Linked DNA regions of Rhinolophus ferrumequinum. The protein of the gene in region 3 interacts with the protein of the main gene of each other region in a pairwise test. Links are inferred from orthologs where the notes say so. Each region holds a gene or a part of one and is shown on either strand. Other genes may lie near its edges.

What was found.
Region 1: the proteins of KXD1 (region 3) and LRRC45 interact in binary tests that used the Homo sapiens proteins (3 or more experiments, as listed by UniProt). The two-hybrid records come from large-scale screens. The link is inferred for Rhinolophus ferrumequinum from reciprocal best matches to the Homo sapiens genes KXD1 and LRRC45.
Region 2: the proteins of KXD1 (region 3) and MOB1A interact in binary tests that used the Homo sapiens proteins (3 or more experiments, as listed by UniProt). The two-hybrid records come from large-scale screens. The link is inferred for Rhinolophus ferrumequinum from reciprocal best matches to the Homo sapiens genes KXD1 and MOB1A.

The regions. Positions count from the first base shown.
Region 1 is NC_046304.1:54,767,953-54,774,938, reverse strand, and holds the start of LRRC45 (leucine-rich repeat-containing protein 45), read right to left. Parts: upstream 3,030-6,986; 5' UTR 2,542-3,029; coding exon 2,322-2,541; intron 2,003-2,321; coding exon 1,941-2,002; intron 1,585-1,940; coding exon 1,514-1,584; intron 1,225-1,513; coding exon 1,046-1,224; intron 879-1,045; coding exon 750-878; intron 1-749. Other genes in the region: CENPX (centromere protein X), read left to right, coding at 3,087-3,332, 5,898-5,949, 6,125-6,178, 6,435-6,523, 6,637-6,651. UniProt on the Homo sapiens protein: Component of the proteinaceous fiber-like linker between two centrioles, required for centrosome cohesion.
Region 2 is NC_046296.1:17,799,024-17,806,281, reverse strand, and holds the start of MOB1A (MOB kinase activator 1A), read right to left. Parts: upstream 3,028-7,258; 5' UTR 2,791-3,027; coding exon 2,777-2,790; intron 1-2,776. UniProt on the Homo sapiens protein: Activator of LATS1/2 in the Hippo signaling pathway which plays a pivotal role in organ size control and tumor suppression by restricting proliferation and promoting apoptosis.
Region 3 is NC_046301.1:51,278,798-51,286,579, reverse strand, and holds the start of KXD1 (kxDL motif-containing protein 1), read right to left. Parts: upstream 3,079-7,782; 5' UTR 2,956-3,078; intron 2,944-2,955; exon of another isoform or gene 2,921-2,943; intron 2,807-2,920; exon of another isoform or gene 2,277-2,806; intron 426-2,276; 5' UTR 405-425; coding exon 304-404; intron 1-303.

The DNA.
Region 1 (6,986 bases), on a different chromosome or scaffold from region 3:
AGTGGCGGTGGGGTGGGGGCGACAGTGGGGCCAGGAACCTGGGAGGCACCAGGTGCAGGGGGCATGCACATGGAGAGGAGCACTTGGGCTCCCTCCCAAAGGTCAAAGGTGGCTGTATGACTTTTAACAGGCAGCATTTGGAGAGGGACCAGCCAGAGGCTGCTGTGGAGTCACACTATTACAACAGCGGGGGTGACCCAGAGGTAGGCCAAGAATGGAGAAGCTGGAGATGACACAGGTCGGGTAGACCCAAAGGGAGGTGGTGACCTGCGCAGAATTCCAGCCAAAGCTTGGGCCCTTGGGTCGCTGGTGCTGTGGGCAGGATGAGGAACCACAGGGAGTGGCAGAGTGTTTTGCTGGGACTGGGGTTGAGGTGTCCAGGTCATGGACAGGAGGGGACCGTGCAGGCTGTGGCCTGGACCTGGTGGCCCCATTCCCACATGGCTCTTGGGCACAGCCACAAACTCAAGTGTGATGAGGGCAGATGCCACTTGAGGCAGCAGCACAGCCATCAGGGCAAGGCCCCAAGCCACATTGCCTCAGCTTCCTCATCTGTGAAATGGGTGACCCTGCCCCACCCCACCTTGGTGGATTTAAGAACAGACAGTGAGTGCCGTGCCAGCCCGCTGCCACCTCTCCTTCTGCGAGCTCTCACCCTCCCTCTTCCTCTGTTTCTAATTTAGGCTGCCTTCAGGATGCGTCTGCATGCCCCCTGGAGCCTGGGCCTCCGGCTTTATGCATGCCCCTACCCACGGCTCTGAGGACATCACTGGGGACGTTGTTCCCAGCCAGCTCCAGCCTCCACAGGGTTCTGTTGCTCGGCAGAGAGCTCACCAGGGCACGGCCACCCAGGAGGCCGATGTTATTCCAGCGCAAGTCTGGAAGAGATACCTGTTATCACCAGACGGAAGGCACCTGGGGTGCGGGCCCAGCCCAAAAGCTTCCCTGGGGGAATCGCCCAAAGAGCAGGAGCCAGCCTGGTTCTCCCCACCCGCTTCGCCACCCCTTGCTTTGGGAAGCCAGACAGTGGTCTGCCGGGCCTCACCCAGCTGCTGGAGGCTGGTGTTGCTCTTCAGGGCCAGGGCCAGTTCCTCTGCACCCTTGTGACTAATCTGGTTGTTGCGTAGGTCCAGCTGCCGCAGGGTGCTGTTGGCCGCCAGGGCGCCGCAGAAGGTGGCGAAGGCATCTTCCCACGTGCCCAAGTTGTTCCACTCCAGGGTGAGGCTGTGGGAAGGGTGGACATGAGCTGCGTGGCCCCAGGAGTGCCCTGCTCCCACAGGGTCCAGGGGGCTTGAGGAGGGACGCAGGCCTGGGGTCTCCGGCAGGAAGCCTTGAGTCCCGTGAGTATCTTGTACCCGTCCACTCCCTGCAGATGGACAGATGGGAAACAGACAACTGGCCGGAAGGAGTGAAGGAATGAACTCTTGGGTTGCAGAACCCTGTCCTCTGGGGCCAAGCCTGAACCTGCAGAGAAAGAGGGGTTTGGGGGCGGGTGGGGCCAACGCCACCTTACCTCTGAATGGACTTGTTCTGTCGGAGGAGTCTTCCTAGAGCCTCGGCCCCTGCAGCCCTGAGGTTATTGCCCTAGGACAGGAAGAGACAGAGCAGGCACATTGTCCTGGCCAGGCTCGGGCGCGTGTACTCCGACAGGCCCTGCAGGCGGGGTTGAGGCCAAGCATAAACTCTGGCCAGAAGGTCTGGCTCCTTTCAGACGCTTCCTTCCCTGACTGCACTCCTGCTGTGGGCTCGGTCAGTGTGCTTACGGGGACACTCTGGAACTCATATTCCCACCCTCCAAACCCCCACACATTCACGAGACCACCAGGAAACGGCACGGAACCCTGTGTGCCAACAGTACTTACAAACGGTGTCTCTGGCCACTGCCCACACCCCATGGCCTCCCTCCCCTCAGGTGGCATGTCCAAAGGCAGTCACCTCACCTTTAGATCCAGAAACTGAAGGACAGTGTTGGCGCACAGCCCCTGGAGCAGCAGTATGGCCCCTGTGAGGGGCAGAGCAGTCACTCTCTGTCCCTGGTGGCCAGAGCACACTGTGACTCTCCTAAGGCGGGATGCTAAGGCTTCTCTTTTACAAAGAGAAACTGCTCTCTGCTCCCAGGTTTCAAGGGACCCTGCTGCTTGCCTTAACTATAGAGCACAAGGGGGAGGGGGGAGTCCGCCCAAAGAGGTAGATGCAATGGTGCAGCAGTGGAGCAGGGGGCAGACAAAGCCAGGGAAGGCTGCCCTGAGGCAAAGGGCTTGAACCCAAGCCGGCTATGAGGTTGCCAGGGCTGCCCGGCCCCAGCCGCCCATGGTGCCCACCTTCTTCGCTCAGCATGCAGTCGCTCAGGACGAGCTCAGTCACAAAAGCCTCCTTCTGCAGCAGCTTGCCCAGGGCCCCGCAGGTGTCAGCTGTCAGGCTCTGCGTGGCCAGGTCCAGCCGGCCCCGCGGCACCTCGTGCAGGCGCTGAAGGACAGTCTCCTGGGGCTCGGCCCCACTCTCCTTGCACAGCCGGCTGTAGGAGCGCCGGATTTCCTCCATGTCCCTGGGGTGCCAGCAGGGCTGCCTCAGCACGCTCCTAGAGCCAGACCTCACCGTGTGGCAGCAGCCAGCGACGCGGGAAGCCGAAGCTGGGGGAAGGGGACTGCTGGCCCCGCTGCGGGACTGCTCTCCTGCTGGCAGTAGGGCAGGGCTTCTCCCCTGGGGGCAGACAGGGACTCCGAGCAGCTCAATGTGGGGCTCAACGACCCCAGGTCCGACCTCGGCAGCCGAGGAACGAAGAACAAACTGAGTTGTTTCTACACGCGGGCGGCCCCAGGAGTGCAAGGATGGCCAGAGGACCGCCCGAGCATGGGGCCGACGCGGGAACGGAGATCCCTCGGGGCTAGGGCCTCCCGCGACGGGGCCGGTCCAGGCATCGCGCGTACCCTCGCGCCCCCAGTAGTCGCGCCACCGGCCCCTGCTCCCGGCGGCGGTGCCCGCCGCGGCGCCTCAGTAACCAGGAAGAGCAGGGAACGCCGGGAAAGGCTGGCAGAAACTACAACTCCCAGGAGACTTTGCGGAGGAGGGGCGCTCGCCGCGGGCTAATGAGGGCGAGGAACGGGCACGCGTTGCGGGCCTCCAGCCGGTGGAGCCAAGGCAGCGCTCTCACGGCCCATTGGATGGGGGGAATAGGGGTGGGGCTTCGGAGGGCGCGCTCCGGGGTGATTGGCTGGAGGATCGGGGGCGGGGCTGGAAAGGCGCGCTCAGGGCTCATTGGCGGGGGACCGGGGCTGCGGAGGGCGCGCGACGCGGCGCGGGTCATGGAGGCAACCAGCTCTGGCTTCCGGAAAGTGAGAAAGGGGACGATGCGGGGGCGGATGATGGTGGTGGGGACACTGCGGCGGGACCCCACGCGTGACACACGTGTAGGCCTTGGGCCAGCCCCGGCGCTGCGTGCGAGTGCCTTCTAGGGCGAGCCCATTCCCAGAATCCAGCCACGACCCCACCCCGCGCGTCCTTCGCCCTCCGGGGTGGAGTCCCGCGGCCCGGTGGCAGAAGGTCGAGTGGTCTGGGGCAAGAGGGAGCGGGTCTGCAGAAACTGGGCGGGCAGAGGTGGGCGCCGCGACGGCGGAAATGCAGGGGACCTCAGAGAGGAGCCTGAGCCTGCCGGCCACGCCCCGCTGCCGCGGATCCGGCGGGGCTTTTCTTTTCCCTAAACCGCTTGGCGTAGGGCACCGTTCCGCCCAGCGCGCTGACACTGCCACATACCCGCATAGCCTAAAGCTTCCTTTGGTCTGCCCCGTCACTCGAGCCCTGTGCTGTGTGTCTCACCTGAGCCAAGTTAAAGCCCAGCTGAAGCTGCGTTTCGGGGCAGCACGTTTATCTAGGTTCGGTCTGGCGTGGGGGGGGAGGGGGCTACAAGTCCTTTTAGTAACACCCTGGCGCAGTCATGCACTGTTACGTGCACTGACATAGATTAGCCCATTTAACGCTTACCACCCCTAGGAGAAGGTAGTACTATCCCCACTTACCCGGGGAGAAACGAAGCAGGCCTGTGGGGAGTGCCGCACTGGGTGCGTAGCATGTCCACTGGCTCCCACGCCTGAGGCTGCGACTAGTTTATGAATCTGGCTTTGTTGCTCTATCCTAAAGGTAGGTGGCACTGAGTCCTTGAATCAGGAAGGTGTGCGCGGAGGGCCTGTGGACCTTTGTGAGCTGGGGAGGGAAGGAGGCTCTCAGCACCTGTGTCCCTCCTGACCCCAGTGGGGACTTCAGCCTTGCAGAGGCATGGGGACTGCTTTCGGGTTCACCTGCTGCCTCAGTCCCCTCTTTATCACCCAGGATCGTGGCTCAGCCCTGGCCCAGAAGGGGTTAATCACCTAAAAGGGGATGTCATTGAGGCTGGGTGATCCACCATGGTGGCTGTGAGACACCTCCCCCCCACACACACACACACCTTGTAACAGCTGGAGAGGGGAGCACAGGGCTTGGCCTTCATCAGGCCGACGTGGACAGCTCTGCAGTCCTGGCGCCACAGGCTCTGGCCAGAGCTGTGCTCATTGTGGATGAGGGTGATGGAGGGAGGGGCAGTGGTGCCAACGTGCAGTGGGACAGAAGCTGAACTCATCCCAGTTCCCATCCTGCTGAGTTCATGTCACTTGTTTGTTTGGAAATTGCCACTCCCAGTTGGTACTGACCCCTTTAGTTAGCGCTTCCTGGGAGTCTGGGAGCAGGTGGGGCAGTAGAGCCTTCTGAGCCATTCCTGGTAAGTGGCAAGAAGGACCAGCAGGTGGCACCAAGCTCACGCAGCCACTGCTGGGACGGCCAGGCCTGTGTCTTCCCCTAGTGACGTGGTAAGTTTATCCTTCTGAGCCTGGGCCACACCGGTGTCCACTCCACTCTGCTCCTGAGCTTTGCTCAGCTGCACAGGCGAAGCCGTGTGACCTCCCGTGGCTACGGGGAGGCCTGGCCAATCCCCAGCTCACCTTCCCTGCAGAACAGTCCATTTTGTTTCTGAGCTCCTGGTCGCCGCTGCTGCTGTCCTCCTGCCTCCCCAGGCGCTCTGCTGGCTCCTGCCCTGGGAAGCCTTTCATGGTCCATCCACATGCTGCCACCTCCCAAATCTTCGTCGTCAGCTCCAACCTTCTGGAAGGCCCCTCGGCTCCAGCCACCCACCGGGCTGCTTTGCTTGGGCATCTGAAGCATGTCCTTCACTCACACGTGTCCTAAGTTGAGCTCCGGAGTCCCTGGTCCCCAGAACCCATCTCCACCCACAGCCCCCATGTTTGTGGAGTGGCCCCATCTTTTGGGGACTCAAGCCCCTGCCTTGTGGAGTCTTGGCCTGGACCTGCCCATGTCCTATTCATGTCTGTCAGGAAGCCCTGCAGATCCCCCCGGGCTCTGTTCTCCATGCCCACCGCCCACTGACCAAACAGCCAGGTCTCTGCCCAGTGCTGTGGTCCCCAGAGCACTCATCTCATAGGAAGACTCCTTCCTTCACCTCTCCAGGGAGGGACTGCAGATGGAACTGACCCGGCACCTGAACCAGGTCTGGCGCAAGCTGTATGGTGTTGGGCATGGACAGACCTGTGGAGGGGCCCAGCATGGGAACAGCCACCTCCTGCCCCTCACAGGGAGTGCTTTGGCCCCGGGGAGGGAACACCACTCTCTCCTGGATTCCAGGAGAGGGACAGGCTGGCACCTGGGCTGCTCCCACCTGCCTGCCACATGTGTCTAATTTCTGGTCCTGGAGGCATCCACAGGGAGGTTTCTCCCACCGTCCAGTCCCCCACCCAGAGGACAGGGCATTTCAGGCCACAAATTACAACCCCTTCCCACCCGGAACGAAAAGCCTAAGGGGTCTGCAGCATTTGGGGGGGGGCAGTGAGCCACTGACATCCCGCTGGTCCCCCCAGGAACTTGTGAGCAAACTGCTGCACCTGCATTTTAAAGATGACAAAACCAAAGGTGTGTAAGTATGGGGATGCTGGAAGCGGGGCTCGGGGTGGGGCTGCCAGCTCTGTGTGGGCCACCGGGGACGAGGAGGACCCAGGTCAGAAGTGGGGGTGTGGGGGAGCCTGCAGCCCCTGGGCAGGTTGACAGCAGGGTGCAGCCCTGTGACCTGCGCCTCTCCACCTTGCAGTTGGCGGAGATGCACTGCTGCTCATGGCAGAGTTGTTGAAGATCTTCGTCTCGGGTGAGCTGAAGGACCCCACCTTGCCCAGACTGCTCGTCCCGTCTGCATTTTCCAGTGGAGAAACCAAGTGACGCATTTTCCCACATTACCCTTTAGGCTCTGTGTCCCTGGAAAGCTCCATGTTTCAGGGGCCACAACCTTGGACTCCTGAGCTGCCAGCCAGCAGGGGCAGGGAGGCAGCTGGGGCTGAGGCCCAGGGGCATTGGGGTTCAAGCCCCCCAGCCTTCTGCACCTCTTGCTTCTCTTTTCACTGCAGAAGCGGCCATCCGCAGTGTCCGGCAGGCCCAGGCAGAGGACCTGGCCCGTGTGGATGTGGAACAGCTGGAGAAGGTGCTGCCTCAGCTGGTAGGTGGGCAGGGGAGGGGCGATTTCATGGGTCTGTCCCTGTGCCACCCTCCCAGGAGCAGGGCTTGGCCATGGCTGGCACCTGTGAGGCTGAGTGCTCCTGTCCCCCACAGCTTCTGGACTTCTAGGGGTTTCCACCCTCACTCCAGCCGACTGCCTGCCTGCATCATGGCCCAGCCCCATGTCCACGTGTCTCCTGTGGCCTCTGGCTTCAGACAGGGAAGAGGCTGCTGATCCCTGACTCTCCTACAGCCCTGAAACTGAGCCAGTCTCAGCAAACGCACCCCTTTCCCTCACATCCTCCTCTCTGCCCACGACAGCCTGACTGTAGCAGAGGTCACTGTGGGGGGGCCAGCCCATGGTGAGCACCGTGTTGGGGTAGGAGCCCTGGGAAGCACGTGCCAAGGGAGAAGTGGGGGCTGTCTTCCACAGACCAGCAGAGCTGCAGCCCTGCCACCCCGAC
Region 2 (7,258 bases), on a different chromosome or scaffold from region 3:
TAATAAAAATATAATCTGTTAAGAAAAAGGTAAGGAACCCTTTAGGAAAACAGGTTAAGGAGATGAACAAGCAATTAAGAAGGAAAAATAACATTGAGCAACGAACATCTGAAAGGCTGTTTAATTAAAGTAAGATTTATTTTTCCTTAATCTGAGTGTCAAAAATTAAAACCACCTAATTAAATGTGTTATAGAGAAATTCGTACTTTAATACACTATTGGTGAAAGTGTTAGGTGTTTGGGGGAGGGCAATATGGCAGTATATGTTAACACTGAAATGCTCCTCAATCTGTCCCTTCCACTTCTAGGTATCTTAAGATATAAACAAGGATGCGTTTTTCAAGATTGCTTTTAATGGTAAAAAACCTGGAAACAATCCTAAGGTTTATTAGAAGAATGAATAAAACTATGATATGTCCATGATACATCTGTATCATAGAGTACTATATAGTAGTTAAGAACAAGATACAAGAACAAGATAGAACTACATCTATGCACATGGAAAGATCTCAAGATATGGTTAAACACAAATCCAAATGTATAGCAAGAACCCATTTTGTAAATGCATTGCAAGTGTCAGAATCGATACACCTAGGGGCGGCCAGATGGCTCAGATGGTTAGAGCGTGAGCTCTTAACTACAAGGTTGCCAGTTCGATTCCCACATTGGATGGTGAGCAATTCCCGCATGGGATGGTGGGCAGCGAGCGTCCCCTGCAACTAAGATCGAAAACAGCGACTGGACTTGAAGCTGACCTGCGCCCTCCACAACTAGACTGAAGGACAACGACTTGACTGGAAGCTGATGGGCCCTGGAGAAACACACAGTTCCCCAACATTCCCCAATAAAAATTTAAAAAAATTAAAACAAAAAAAAAGAATAGATACAGTGATTACTTCTAAGAAGGGGTAAGGGAACAAAAACTGTGGGCTTTCACTTTACCCGAGTAATTTGAATTTTAAATAAGGCTGATTAAGAAGTAAAAAGGAATAACAAAAACAGTAAAAATCAAACATGGAAAATTCTTAACATGCTAAATACCTACATTTAATAGGGAAGTACTAAATTAGAAGGAATGACCCTTCACAAATAGAAAGCTGTGAATGACAGGAAGCTACATATGGAAAACTAACAGAATGATGGCTTATGATTCAATATGATCTTCATCTAAATTAAGAATTTTGTGCTTCAAATGGCACTATCAAGACAGTGAAAACAAAACAAAAAAAGAAAAACCAAAAAGTAAATAAATAAAAAGACAGTGAAAACAATCCACAAAATAGGAAAATATATTTGCAAATCATAGATGTTATAAGGGACTTGTATCCAGGATAAAGAATTCTTACAACTCAAAAACAAAAAGACAAACAACCCAATTTAAAAATGATCCAAGGTTGTCAACTATAATTAAAAATAAAAATGGTCAAAAGATTTGAAGACATTACTCCAAAAAAAAATTTACAAATGGCCAATAAGCACCCAAAGCTGTTCAACCTTCTCAGTCGTTAGGGAACCGTAAATTAAAATCACAATGAGATACCATTTCACAACCATCTAGGATGATTATAATCCAAAAGACAACTAACAAATGCTAGCTAGGGTGCTGGGAAAATGAAACTCAAACAGTGTCGGTGGGATGCAAAATGGTGCAGTGATTTGAAAAAGTTTGGCAGTTCCTCAAAAGGTTAAATAAACATAGTTACCATGTAACTCAGCAATTCCACTTCTAGGTATATGGCTAATAGAAACGAACACATACATCCAATACAAAAATCTGTAGTACACAAAAGTTCATAGCATCATTATTCATAAAAGCCAAAAGTGGAAACTCAACTGTCCATCAACAAAACAAGGTTTAAAACAAACAAACAGCCTTACATTTAGGTCTAATGAGCAACCAAGCAACTGTGCGTCCACAAACAAACCACTAACTAAACATTAACTCATAAGACTTGGGGGACTGCTGTAGTAATATAGAAATTTGTAATTAAAATCTAAATCATACAGACTTTCTGACATACTTTGGAGCCTATACCCTTAAAAAATAATCAAAAGGAGGGGATAAACGATTTGGACAAAGATATTTCCAGTAGTGCTCTTTTATAATAGCGAAAGAATCCAAATTTCTCACAATAAGGAACTATGTAGATAAATTCTAGTTATGAAAAAATATGTAACTTAATAAAGTTTAATAAAAATGTCACGTATGTGGGTGATGTCCGTAACTTTTTTAAAATGGATATTTATCCAACCATACAACACATATTTAAGCAATATACTACGTAGAGGGAGCCGCTTGAGAATAAGGTGTTAGAGCAATGCTTCTCAAACTGCAGCACTCCACGTTTTCCTGGGGCGGCATTTTCCCGCTGGGTTCATTTAATACTGACGTTAATAAAGCTGGACAAACGGTGGAGTAAAAAGCTAAGTCAGCAAAGAATCGCTACTAGAAAAGACACCAGCCTAGAGAAATGGGGAGCCTGCGGTAGGGCCTGGGGCTCCGCCCCCAGATCGTCCTTCCGACCTCAGGGGCGTTCAGGCGGAAAAGTTTGGAGGCCCTACCGGCTTCGGGGCCTTTCTGCTCCCCAGCCTTCTCGCTCCACTTCCTTTGCCTCGACCGTCAGCCTCGGCCCACGTCCTGGCCTGCCCAGTGGCCCCCAGCCGGGGCAAAGCAAGCGCCGGCCACGCCGGGTCCGGCCCTCGCCTCAGACCCTGCTCTTCCCCCTTACCCGCCCTCGGCACTCAGGTCTAGACCCCTCAGCCGAGCCGCACTCACAAGAGGAAGCTCATCTTCTATCCTCAGAGGGGACGGGAGGGGCCGCTGGCCCCCGCCGCGGTCAGGATTCGGAGCCGGCGCGGAAACCGGGACGGAGCCCACAGTCCTCAGCCCGCCGACAGCAGAAGCACTGGCCTCTGCTGCTCCGAGCCGGGGTCGAGCCGGTATAAGCCGGTGCAAGATGCTGCGCCCACCTCGCCGGCCTCCCCCACCTAAGAGATCTCAAATGCGGAACCAGCATAATCTCGCGAGAGAAGGCTTCGCTCTGCCCCGCCCCTCGCCGACAGGGACTGGACGCGCCCCTTTTCACCCCGCCCTCTTTTAGAGCTCACCCAGTCATCACCTCTCCCAGTCACAGCCCTCAATCCGGGCCTTGCTTCTCCCACAGGGATGGTAGTGTTGCGGCCCTGGACGGGGTGGGGGTATGCGTGGGGGGGATGGGGGTTTGGGGGTATGTGGGGTGCGGGTTGTGAGGGGGAGTGGCTGGCCTTGTATTTGTTGCTTTTGGTTTACATTCCCTGGATAGCATGGAGCGTCTATGAATGCTGCAATTGTGAAAATGTAATTTTAAATTGACATATATTTCATATAGCATAGAGGTCACACTTTTAAAAAAATGCTCCAGTGTTGTGTTTTTTTAGTATGTTCACAGAGTTGTGCAACCATCACCACTCTTTAATTCTAGAATATTTTCATCACTCCCAAAAGAAACCAGTACCCGTTAGCAGTCATTCGCCATTCCTCCCTCCTCCCAACCCCTGGCAATAACTGGTCTACCTTTTTATGTGCATTTGCCTACTCTGGCCGTTTCCTATAAATGGAACTGTACAATATATGGTCTTTTGTGACTGGCTTCTTTCACCTAACTTGATGTTTTCAAGATTCATCCATGTTGTATTGTAGCATATACCAGTATTTCATGCCTCTTTATGGATGAGTAATATTCCATTGTTTGAATATATTATACCTTATTTTATCCATTCATCTGTTGATGGACATTCTGTTGTTTCCACTTTTTACCTGTTATGAATAATGCTGCTATGAATATTTCTGTACCGGTTGGTCATGAGGAGAAGTAGACGTTACCACCCCAAAATATGCCGTTTAGGATACTATTTTAAGCTGGTTATTTTCAAGAAATAAAAGACTCTGAGAGAACTTTAATCTTCCCCCTAATTGCCTAAAAGAATTTAGATAGAAAACCTGCTCCAAATGGGAACTATTATCATACGTAACGATAATTTAATATGAATCAAGTGTGATAGACAGGAAGGAACCTAGCAAGGCCTTTTGATCAAAGTTTTCTTTGTGTCCCATTGTTTAAAATGACCCAGGAAACATTTATTTACCAAACTTTTGCTTTTTCATCTCCATGTGAATTGTCTTCATATCATTGGAAGTCCCAACTATAATCCTCTCTTCTCCTTAGCTCAAGATGGTATATAAGCCTTAAGTGTCCATCTGTACTCTGGTCCTACATGCTTAGGGAGCCCTCATATATATACATACGTAATAAATTTGGTCATTTTCTTCTGTTACTCTGTCTCATGTTAATTCGATTATTAGTCCTGCCAAAAGAACTTAGAAAGGTAGGAGGAAAATTATTTTTTCTTCCCCCACAGTCATATGGTAACTATATGTTTAACTTTTTGAGGAACTGTCAGACTATTTTCCAAATCAGCTGCACCATTTTATATTCCCACTGGCAAATATCTGAGGGTTCTAATGTTTCCACAACCTCAATAACGTTTGCTATTTGTCTTTTTTATTACAGCCACCCTAGTGAGTGTGAAGTGGTATCTCATTGTAATTTCGATTTGCATTTCCCTGTTGGTTGATTTTGAGAATCTTTTCATGTGCTTATTGGCCATTTGAAACAAATTTATTTTTATCTCACTTTAAAGTTACCTCAGACCCTCCCAAAGAACCATCCAACAACTCAGAAAGGGGTTCTGGTACAATAACAGTCTTTATTCAGTGTCTCCATGACATCACCATCCCTTTATTCCTCAGCACCCATCATCCAGATTCTGCACCCTGCCCACCCTCCCACAAAATCTTTTCTCACCAAGATCTCCACTGTCTTAGTTTCTAAATCCAATGGGCATTTTTCAGTCATTGTCTTACTTGCCACTTAGTTTTTTCTTTTCTTTTTTTTGAAGATTTTATTGGGGAAGGGGAACAGGACTTTATTGGGGGAACGGTGTGTACTTCCAGGACTTTTTCCAAGTCAAGTTGTTGTCCTTTCAGTCTTAGTTGTGGAGGGCGCAGCTCAGCTCCAGATCCAGTTGCCATTACTAGTTGCAGAGGGCGCAGCCCACCATCCCTTGTGGGACTTGAGGAATCAAACTGGCAACCCTGTGGTTGAGAGGACACGCTCTAACCAACTGAGCCATCCGGGAGCTCAGTGGCAGCTCAGCTCAAGGTGCTGTGTTCAATCTTAGTTGCAGGGGCACTGCCCACCATCCCTTGCGGGACTCGAGGAATCAAACTGGCAACCTTGTGTTTGAGAGCCCACTGGCCCTTGTGGGAATCAAACCGGCGGCCTTCGGAGTTAGGAGCATGGAGCTTTAACCGCCTGAGCCACCGGGCCGGCCCCCACCACTTAGTTGTATCTGGTCGATCCTAACAGAGTCCTCATTTGATAACAGTGATTTTATTTTTTTAAGAACCTCTTTTGTTTTCTCCCTATGATCTGGCTTCTATATGGTGGGAGTGTGGACATATAGAAAGGGAGACCATGGCCAGATTTGTTGGTAATAGTCTGCTTTAGCTAGGTGTTTTTGGTAGCAAGTGACAAAAACCCACACTGTTCATATTTCCATCAGAACTATCTTACATTTTCTTCCCACTAGATTGTGAATTCCTTTAGTGGCAGAGATATAGATTGTTCATTTAATCTAATGCTCAGCACAGTGCTTGGTACACAGAAACTACTCATTGAATGAATGGACATGTAGACTGGAAATCCCAGTCTAATAGAGGAGATTGATACAGAAATAAGTGGTAATCCGGCGTGGCCGGATGGCTCAGTTGGTTAGATTGCAAGCTCTGAGCAACAGGGTTACCGGTTCGACTTCAGCATGGGATGGTGGGCTGGCCCCTCCCACCCCAACTAGATTGAAGATGGCGACTGGACTTGGAGCTGAGCTGTGCCCTCCACAACTAGATTGAAGGACAACTTGACTTGGAGCTGATGGGTCCTGGGGAAAACACACTGTTGCCCAACAAAGTCCTGGAAAAAACACACTGTTCCCCTTCCCCAATAAAAGAGAGAGAGAGAGAGAAAAGTGGTAATCAGTGCAGTATTACCAGTGCTGATAAGATGAAAGACAAAGTGACTCAGTGCTCTTTCTGACTTGGCCTTTAGTTTTCTGGTTTTCTAGCTTCATTGCTCAAGGCTGTGCTCCAGCCAAACAACTCCTTCCTATTTCCATAATAAACCCTGGACCTCCTTGAATCATTGCTCCTGTTCTTGAAATTCTTTCTGGCTGGAATGACCCAACATCCTCATCACACCCTGTCCTTTAAGATCCAGCCAGAAATCCTCTTTCCTTCCTCTATAGACCTTTATATCCTTCTTACAACATACAGAGGGTACCAAAAAAATGTATACACATTTTAAGAAAGGAAAAAAACTATTAACATTGTAATACTCAATATATACTGATAACAAAAGGTGAATACAAGCCACGTTTGACTTCTGCAATTACAAGAGGTGCTCAAAGTGGTTACCATCAGCATCCAGACACTTCTGATTATGGCGAACTACTGCTTGAGCAACATTGACCAAAGTGTCCACTTGTATACATTTTTTTGTCACCCCCAGTACAATCACAATTCAAGTTTTTAGAAAGTAGTATTTTCATATTAAATAGCTCTTGTGTTAGGGAGTCGGAATTTCAGGATTTATGTTCTCTTGCTTTTCTGAAAATTCCATTTTTTCTCTAGTAAACACATACTTATATTATTTTTTACTTTTTATTTTATTTTAAGAGAATCAAGATAGAATAGTGACTAAAAAGCTTATATTTTGGAGGTGATGGTCTGGGTTTGAACCCTGCCACTGCTACTTAATAACCATATGACCTTGATTATTTTTATAACCTTTTGTCTCAGTTTTCTCATCTGTAAAATGGGGGGGGCAATCTCATAGGGTTGTGAGAATTAAATGATTTAAGGTATAGAATTCACTTAGACAGTTCTTGGAACATATATACTCTAAATCAACATTTGGTATTTAATAGGAAGAAATTTTGACATGTCTTATCACCTCTATCAGATGACCAACTTTTGGAAAGTAAATCCCTATTTACTTGTATTTTACATGTGCCTCTTGTGGGCCTTATATCAGAGTAGATACTCAGCAAATATTTGCTAAATGAATGCGATTGGATTTTTGCCTAAATATTATTTTAGACCAATTTTTTAACTGATGCAATCCCTGAATTTCAGAAGTTTTGTGTAGCTTGAGTAGTTTTA
Region 3 (7,782 bases):
TATATCCCCCAGTATCCCCTTATCCTACTCTTCCTCACCCCAGGCCTTGGGACAGGAGCTGATGCATCTCTACCCTCCCCCGCCCCCCCAAGCCTTCTGCAGCTGTGAAACCATCTCAAAGCCCTGCTTCCTATGCCAAGGGCTCGCCTCCAGGCCAGGAAGGAATTTACTTAGGAGCTGGCCAGCAAATTTGCTCATTTCCTTCATTTTATCACCAGTGAGGGGGCGGGCTGGGCAACAATGCTGGCTGGCAAGTGGATTCCTTCCCACGCCTGGAGCCCAGGCTGCTTGGCCACCACTCACATGTTCTTCTGGGCCAGGATGATGGCATTGACGTCATCCACATTCACCATGCTCAGGATGCGGCTGCAGAAGACCCTCGAGGCCGAGGCCGGGGGGTCCATGTCTTCCTCCTCCGCCGCTGCCTGAAACGGGAAGAAAATCTGCAGTCTGCACCAGGCACATGGGTGGGTGGGGGGTTGGACAGGAGGGGCCGGGAACCCCACAGGCTGCCTGGAAGTGGGTCGGTCATGCCACCTCAGCCTCAGCTTTGTCATCCCAGGAATTCAGGGGTATTTCGAGAACTCCAGAAGGTCACATTTATAACTTGCACCCCAGCACATCGGAATCCCATCTCCCCTCCCCAGCACCCATTCTTCATATGCCCAGGGCCACTGGCACCGTCCACCTGCACAGATCTAGCTGCCCACCTCCTCCCACACCCCCTTGCCTTTGCCCATTCCCAGCTCAGAGCCTACTGTCCCCCCGGCGGAACATGCACCACTGTGCCGTCGGATCACCCTCACCTCGTGAGATCCGTGAGGACTATCCCTACCTTGGTCGTTCTCATCACCTTGTTTTAGTTGCTTCCCTGGCTCACCTCTGCCTGAAATTCCCTTAGTTAACAGTTGACCTGTTTGCCTGTCACCCCCACAGCACTGCCAGCTCCAAAAGAGTACAGGCATGTGTCTCCCTCGCTCACTGCTGTCTCCAGAGCCCAGCCCAGAACCTGGCTCACAGCAAGGAATCACCAGAACTTCCTTTGTCAGAGGCAAACAGGACTTTCAAACTCAGCTGTAATGCTGAACTTTTAACAGCAAATAAAGCCAAGAATTTCAGGCACTTGCAGCCAGTCTGTGGACCTCAGCAACCCAGAGAGCTGTGGGGCTCTCAGCTTCCCTAGCATGTAGATGACCGTCCCAGTGGGTTGGGCTTCCTGGATCAGGCCAGGGCAAGAAAGGCCACAGCTTTAGCGCTGACCCTACTGGTGGGGAGCTTCAGGAAAAACCCAGAATCCTGACATAGCTTGGTTCTGGAGCCCACATATTTAATGGCCGACAGAAAGGCCCACTTGCCATTGGTTAAGATTCACACACAGGATCAGTAAGGGCTTTCAGAGCCCACTTAATCCACCCTCCTCTTTATTTAGCACCTACTGTAAGCTAAACAAGGTACCAACTTTATACATAGGAACTGTTACCCTTATTTGTATGTGAGAAAACAAGCTCAGAGACTGAGGCACTGAGCTATCGTCACGTAGCCAGTGAACCTGAGTCACAAATATCCACGGTCCGCAGGATCCACAAAGGTGTGACCCTGTACAGATGTTCAGTATCCACCCATGATAGCACAGCTGCTTCTTACAGCAGCTGCTTCCTGCCAGACTTCTGATTGCTTCCAGGAAAAATACCCAGAAATGTGCATCCCCCCCTCCCCCGTGAAATCACCTCATTTGCAAATTTTAGCAAATAACCCTCTTTTCCCCCAAACACCATGGGGCCAAGAGTATTTATGCCATGAATTTGGCTTAGTGCTTTGCAGCCCCTACATGCCTTCTGGAAATAAGCTGCCACACCTGGTGAAATCCTCTCGCCCTGCCAATTAGTACTATTTTTTGAGCTCCTATGTGCCAGGTACAGACATTCACAGTCTCCACATTTCCAAAAAAGTGTGATCACGTATAAAGAGGCTACTTGGGCTCAAAGGGCAGTCCCTTGGTGGGAAGCCCACAACTAAAGCCTGGCAGGCACAAGATTTGGACCTGCAGGAAACGGTTCTGCTTCAAAGTTGGGTTCTTTCCTGTCTCTGGCTCCCATATGTGAGATTCAAGGCACATCCTTCCACTGCCAGCTCCTTCTCTGAGGAAAGCCTTCCCTAACAGCTATTGTGGACCACGTAAGGGTGGAAATAACCCAGCAAGCGCTCTGGTATCTGTTCTTTTTATGAGGGAAACACGCTGAGAGGGAGGCTGTGTGACTTTGGGAGAGTCACCTCACCTTTCTGAACCAGTTTTCTCATCCAGAAAATGGGAATAACAATCTCACAGTCCTGTTTGTGGGGACTGAAACCAACGGTGATAAGCTTAATTCCGAGCAGGCTGTTTCTCCAAGGTGAGTGTTGAAGACGTTTTAAGTTGGGGCGCGGGAATCAGCATTTTGACGAGACCCTCTAAGGTGTTTCCAAGAACATGAGCAAATTTAATCCCCAACCACGCCTATGAGGCAAACACTCTCATCTCGGAGGAGAACTAAGGCTCACAGGGGCCGGCTCAATTGCCCAAGGTAAAACGGCCAGGCGGAGAGGCAACGCGATTCCACCCAGGGCATTTAACAATTCAATTTGGTGGCCCAAGCTTAGCAAAACCCTGGAGTGGGAGCGAGGTTCGCATATCCCCTCACACCCCGCCCCTGCCAAGCGCAGAAACTGAAGCCCAACCAGGGCAACGCCCGGTTCTAGGTGACACAGGCGGCCCCAACTCCCGCACCCTGGACCTGGATCAACTGAGCAGACAGGGAAACTGAGGCCTGTGCGCAGGAGGGGTGCCCAGATGTGGCCAAAAGCGCGCCCCACCCCACGACAGCCCCAGGGCCGCGCTCGAACCGGCCCGGCTCCCCGGCGGCCCCGGCAGCCCCAGCCCCACCCCAAACTCGGCCCCGGCGTCGGCGGCAGCGGCACCTGCACATCTGGCGGCCTTGCTCGCGCTTCCGGGATGGCGCCCGCGCCGCCCTGATGTCACCACGCACCATGCGCACGTGGCGGCGACGTGCCCAGGGCCGATTTGCGTGCGTGGAGGCGCGGCAGGAAGGGGGAGGGTTTAGTCTCTTCGCTTGTGCGTCACAACACAAAGCCAATCAAGCAGTCACTCTCTCGCCTACGTCGCTTCCAAAGCCCGAGCTTTCCAGGCTGGGAATCAAATTCACCGGGTTCAGGAATCCGTGTTCTGCTGTTGCTGACTTTTTTCTGGTCCATTACCATCCAGGATCCCACGTTGCATTTAATTACATCTCCTTAGCCTCCTCCACTCTGTGACAGTTCCTCAGTCTTTTCCTACTCTTTCATGACCTTAATACTTCTGAAGATTTCTGGTTTTGTAGAAAACCCATCAATATGGGTTTAATCCAGTGTTTCCTCCGGATTAGACTGCAGTTAAGGAATTTGGGCAGGAATCCCATAGAAGCGATGCTGTGTCCTCAATGCGTTATATTGAGGCATGCGATGTTGACTGACGACTTGCTTAAGACAGCGTCTTGACGGTTTCTCAACTACGAAGTCACTGTTTTCACCTTTCTAATTAATAAGTATCTTATGGGGAGCTACTTAAGAGACAATGCAAATACTTTTTTTTTTTTAACATTTTAAAAAGCAGTTGACACCCACAAGTTTTAGCATCCATTCATGGCTCTTGTCAACAATTTTTACTTTTTTCTATTTATTAATTTAATTATTAATTGGAATTTATGCTAAACAAGAGCTGTCCACTCTCCAATTATGTATTTATTCACATTTATATTGCTCTGAACTCATGAGAATTTTATTCTGTTATTTATCTTGCTGCCCCTTTAAGTGAATCACCTACGTTCTTTAATATGTCTTCCATCTTTCTCTAAGAAAGTAAGAAAGTAAGTACTTTCTTACTTTTGGCACAAGATTTTCCATGTTTGCTTTGGCATATCCTTGGAATCAGCAGTTTCTCCAAGGACACTGGTTCCTGTTCTTGGAGAATGGTATTTAAAAACCAAGGTCTGGGTGCTGGGTGTGCTCATTGCTTAACCACGCTCTCAGCTGTCAGAGTTAGCAAATACATAGTATGTCTACTAACCTATGCATACACACATCTATATTTACTCCTACATCTGTCACCTTGGCTATATACTGAAAACCATAAACAAAACGGGGCAATTACAAAATAGTAATTGCTTAATAAATATTAGCAATTCATTATCATTAGTTATGGAGGTCTTATAATGTGTGTATGTTATACGTCTAATTTTTCTGGGTCTCAGTTTGTTAACTGTGAGCCTGGGTGATCACCACAGTTGCCTTTTAAGGTTCTTGAAAGCTTGGGAGATAAACACATACCATGCTCTGGGGCACATGAAAGACTCTTTAAGAGCTCTGGAATTGGATATATCTGAGTTCTAATTCCAGTTCTGTCACATCTTAGCTGGATGGCTTTGGGCAAGTGGCTTAACCTTATGAAATCAGGCAGGTGAGTTCTTTACACGTCTTGGCCCACTGTAAGCCCTTGGTAAACTGTATTATTACCCGCATGTTTTGCTGCCTTAATTCACTGAAAAGTTAATACAGACCAGGACTCTTAAACACTTAGTTCAAAAGTCTAAAAAACTTGTCAGTAACCCTCTAGCCACCCCCTCTGGATTTGGCCCATATTCTGGGAATCCAGAGAGTACTCAGTCCCTGCCTAGCCCTGAAGGATGGAGGGAGACAGAGTCTGACTCAGACACTCCCAACCCTGAGTGGAACACTGCTGGGTTAGAGGGAGGAGAGACTCAAAGCTGGAGGAACCTTAAGAGTGGGGGTATGAGAACTCCTTTTAAGGGCAAAGAAGAAAGTATGTCTGGATGGGGTTTTGAGGTAGGATTAGGAGTTTTCTAGGTGCTGACTTTCATTCAAGGCTGAGGGAATCACAGGAGCAAAGACAGGGTGGTGGGAAAACATTTAGTCTGGACTTGATCTTTTTAAGAACTGTAGAGCTCAGTGAGCCAGGTAGCAGCCAGTGCTGAGAGGGGAGCACTGGTGGGGGCTGCTGGGGAAAGTGGAACCATGACTCTGTCTGCAGGCTGCAGCAGAAGAGGCCCAGGCTGAAGAAATCAAGCTTTTCAATGGGTCCCTTGGGCTCTGTTAGAGGCCAGGAAACATTTACGAGGGTCCCGGAAGAGGTGGGGGCTGCACATTGAGGCCAAAAGGGACTTGGCTGGCCCCAAATGTTTTGTGCACAGTGGAGTAGAGACAAGAAAAATATTTTCCTCCTTTGTGTGTTTGAGGGAGAGGGTGGGAAATGATGTGACTGCTCAGTTGCCCCAGTGATGGGGACATTGGTGGTGGGGGAGGCCTAAGTCTGGGCACTGGAAACCTTTCTCTGCCACTTTTTCCAATTTTATTTCTTACATAGCATTCATCATAGCTGCAGTTAGATACTTATCTGCATTATTGTTTATGCAGTATCCAGCTCCCTGGCTGGAATAGAAGCTCAATGGGGTAAGATACCAGGCCCACTGTGCCCTTCATCACTGTGACCTTGAACAAGTTAATTAACTTCTCTGTGCCTCAATTTCCCCATCTGCAGAATAAGGATAATAAGAGTCTTACCAAAATACATACATCGAATTCTAAAGAAGGCAAGAGAGAGAAAAGGAGCATAGAGAAGGTATTACAGAGAAAAAACACGAGAGGGCAGATTTAAGTCCAAATATGTGTGTAATTACATTAAATGTGGAGACCAAATGCCCCAATTAAAAGATAAAGATGGGCAGGATGGATCAAAAAACAAAACCTGATTCTATTCTGCTTACAAGAGGCACATATACAACATAAGGGTACCGAAAGGTGGAAGATAAGGGGTGGAAAAGAATGGAAACTTTAAAAGATAAACCAAGAGAATAGGTGTGCAATCTTAATATCAAAGTCCACTCAAAAGCCAGAAGCATGGAGATAAAGAGGGGCATGTCACAACAATCACAAGTTCTGTTCACCAGGAAGATGTAACGATTGCAACTCTGTACGTAGCCAATGATGTGGATTCCAAATATCAGAGTATTTGTCTCATAAGGCTGATGGGAGGATTAAATACACAGTTTTTGCCTACACCTGTGACACCGGAGTCTCAGCTGTCACCGTGTTTCCCTGAAAAGACCTAGCTGGACAATCAGCTCTAATGCGTCTTTTGGAGCAAAATTTAGTGTAAGATTCGGTCTTATTTTACTATAAGACCCAGTCTTATGTAATATAAGATATATAATATATAATACTATACTATACTATAATGTAATACTGGGTCTTACGTAATATTATATAAGACCGGAGCTTATATTAATTTTTGCTCCAAAAGACGCATTAGAACTGATGGTCCGGCTAGGTCTTATTTTCGGGGAAACACGATATTATTGTTATAATTGTTGATGTTATTAGTTTATATTTATTTTAGTTGTTTATGTATAGTATCTTTTATTACAATTCCTCTAGCCCATGAAAGAGGTAAGGCTGAATGGGTGCAGATAAAGACATTGAAGATCAGAGATGAACAGGTAATAGTCCAAGTCCCTCAGAACTGGGATTGACCCAGGGTTTGATATTCTTCCTAGGCAATTCCTCATATATCCTCACTGCTTTCCCATTTGTTTTGGCTGATGAGCCTGCTTCCTTCCTTCCACAATGATTTCCCCAAGTCCTCCCACCCTCCACCTTTTGTGCTCTGCACTGTGCAGGCCTCAGGACTGAAACAGTGAGAAACAACGGACCCGTTACAGACTTTGAGGGTCTCCTAGACTAGTGGGCAGAGGTAAGGCAAGTAATGGCACGGATAAAAGTCAGTGAGTTATGAAGTGGAGGTTCATGGGTCTAGGAACAGCCAATTGGGGCACCTGGCCTTGCCTTGGGGAGGTCTGGGAGGTCTTCCTGTAGGAGATGACCTCCGAGCACTGATCTAACAAGTTAGTTCCCTCCAAAAACTAGTTACCTCCTCCAGTGTTAGCTACCTCCAAAGCCAGTTTCATTCATTTATTCAATTATTAGTTCATTTACTGAACTCCCATAGGTGCTAGGCATCATTCAAGGAGGTGTGTGTGTGGGGAACAAATCAAGCAAAATTCCTTTTAGGTAGGAGCAGAGTTGGGAAGAAAGGAGAAGAAGCAAAAGAACAAACAAGATTATTCTGGATGGTGGTAACTGCTGGAAAAAAAATAGAGCCAGGGAAGAATAATTGCCCCTCCTTTCAAAACAAGATCCATAATAACCCATCTAATCGAGGCAGCCACCTTCTCCAGGGACCATGGGCACTTTATCACTCTCTGGCACAAGGTACAGGGAGGAGTAACTACCCCCAGCGGCCCTGCTCGCTCAGTAGCTCACCTAGCCATTATTGAGCTCCTCCTGTATGCGTCAGGCAAGTTCCCGGAGATTAGACAGACCACACAGGGGAGAAGGGGTACCGTGTGCCCTTAGGCGCCTCAGGTCCTCATCCATAACTAGCTAGGGCTTCAAGGTAGATTATCCAGCAGCTCCAGAGCCGCCCTGACCGTCAGGCCTGATCTCCTTAAAGAAATACCATTTAGTACTGTCCTCCCAACAGCCCCCAAGGGGAGAGTGCGTTGATTGGGGTGTTCATCCCCATTTCGCAGATGGGCAGGAAAAAGCTTACACGGGAGCGGTGAGTCGCACCAGCGGTGAGGCGCTGACTCGTAAACAGACTGATCCAGGGACACCTCCACCCCGCCCCCGCCCCCGCCCCCGCTCCGGTAGAGCAGCAGCCTCTACCCCTTTAAG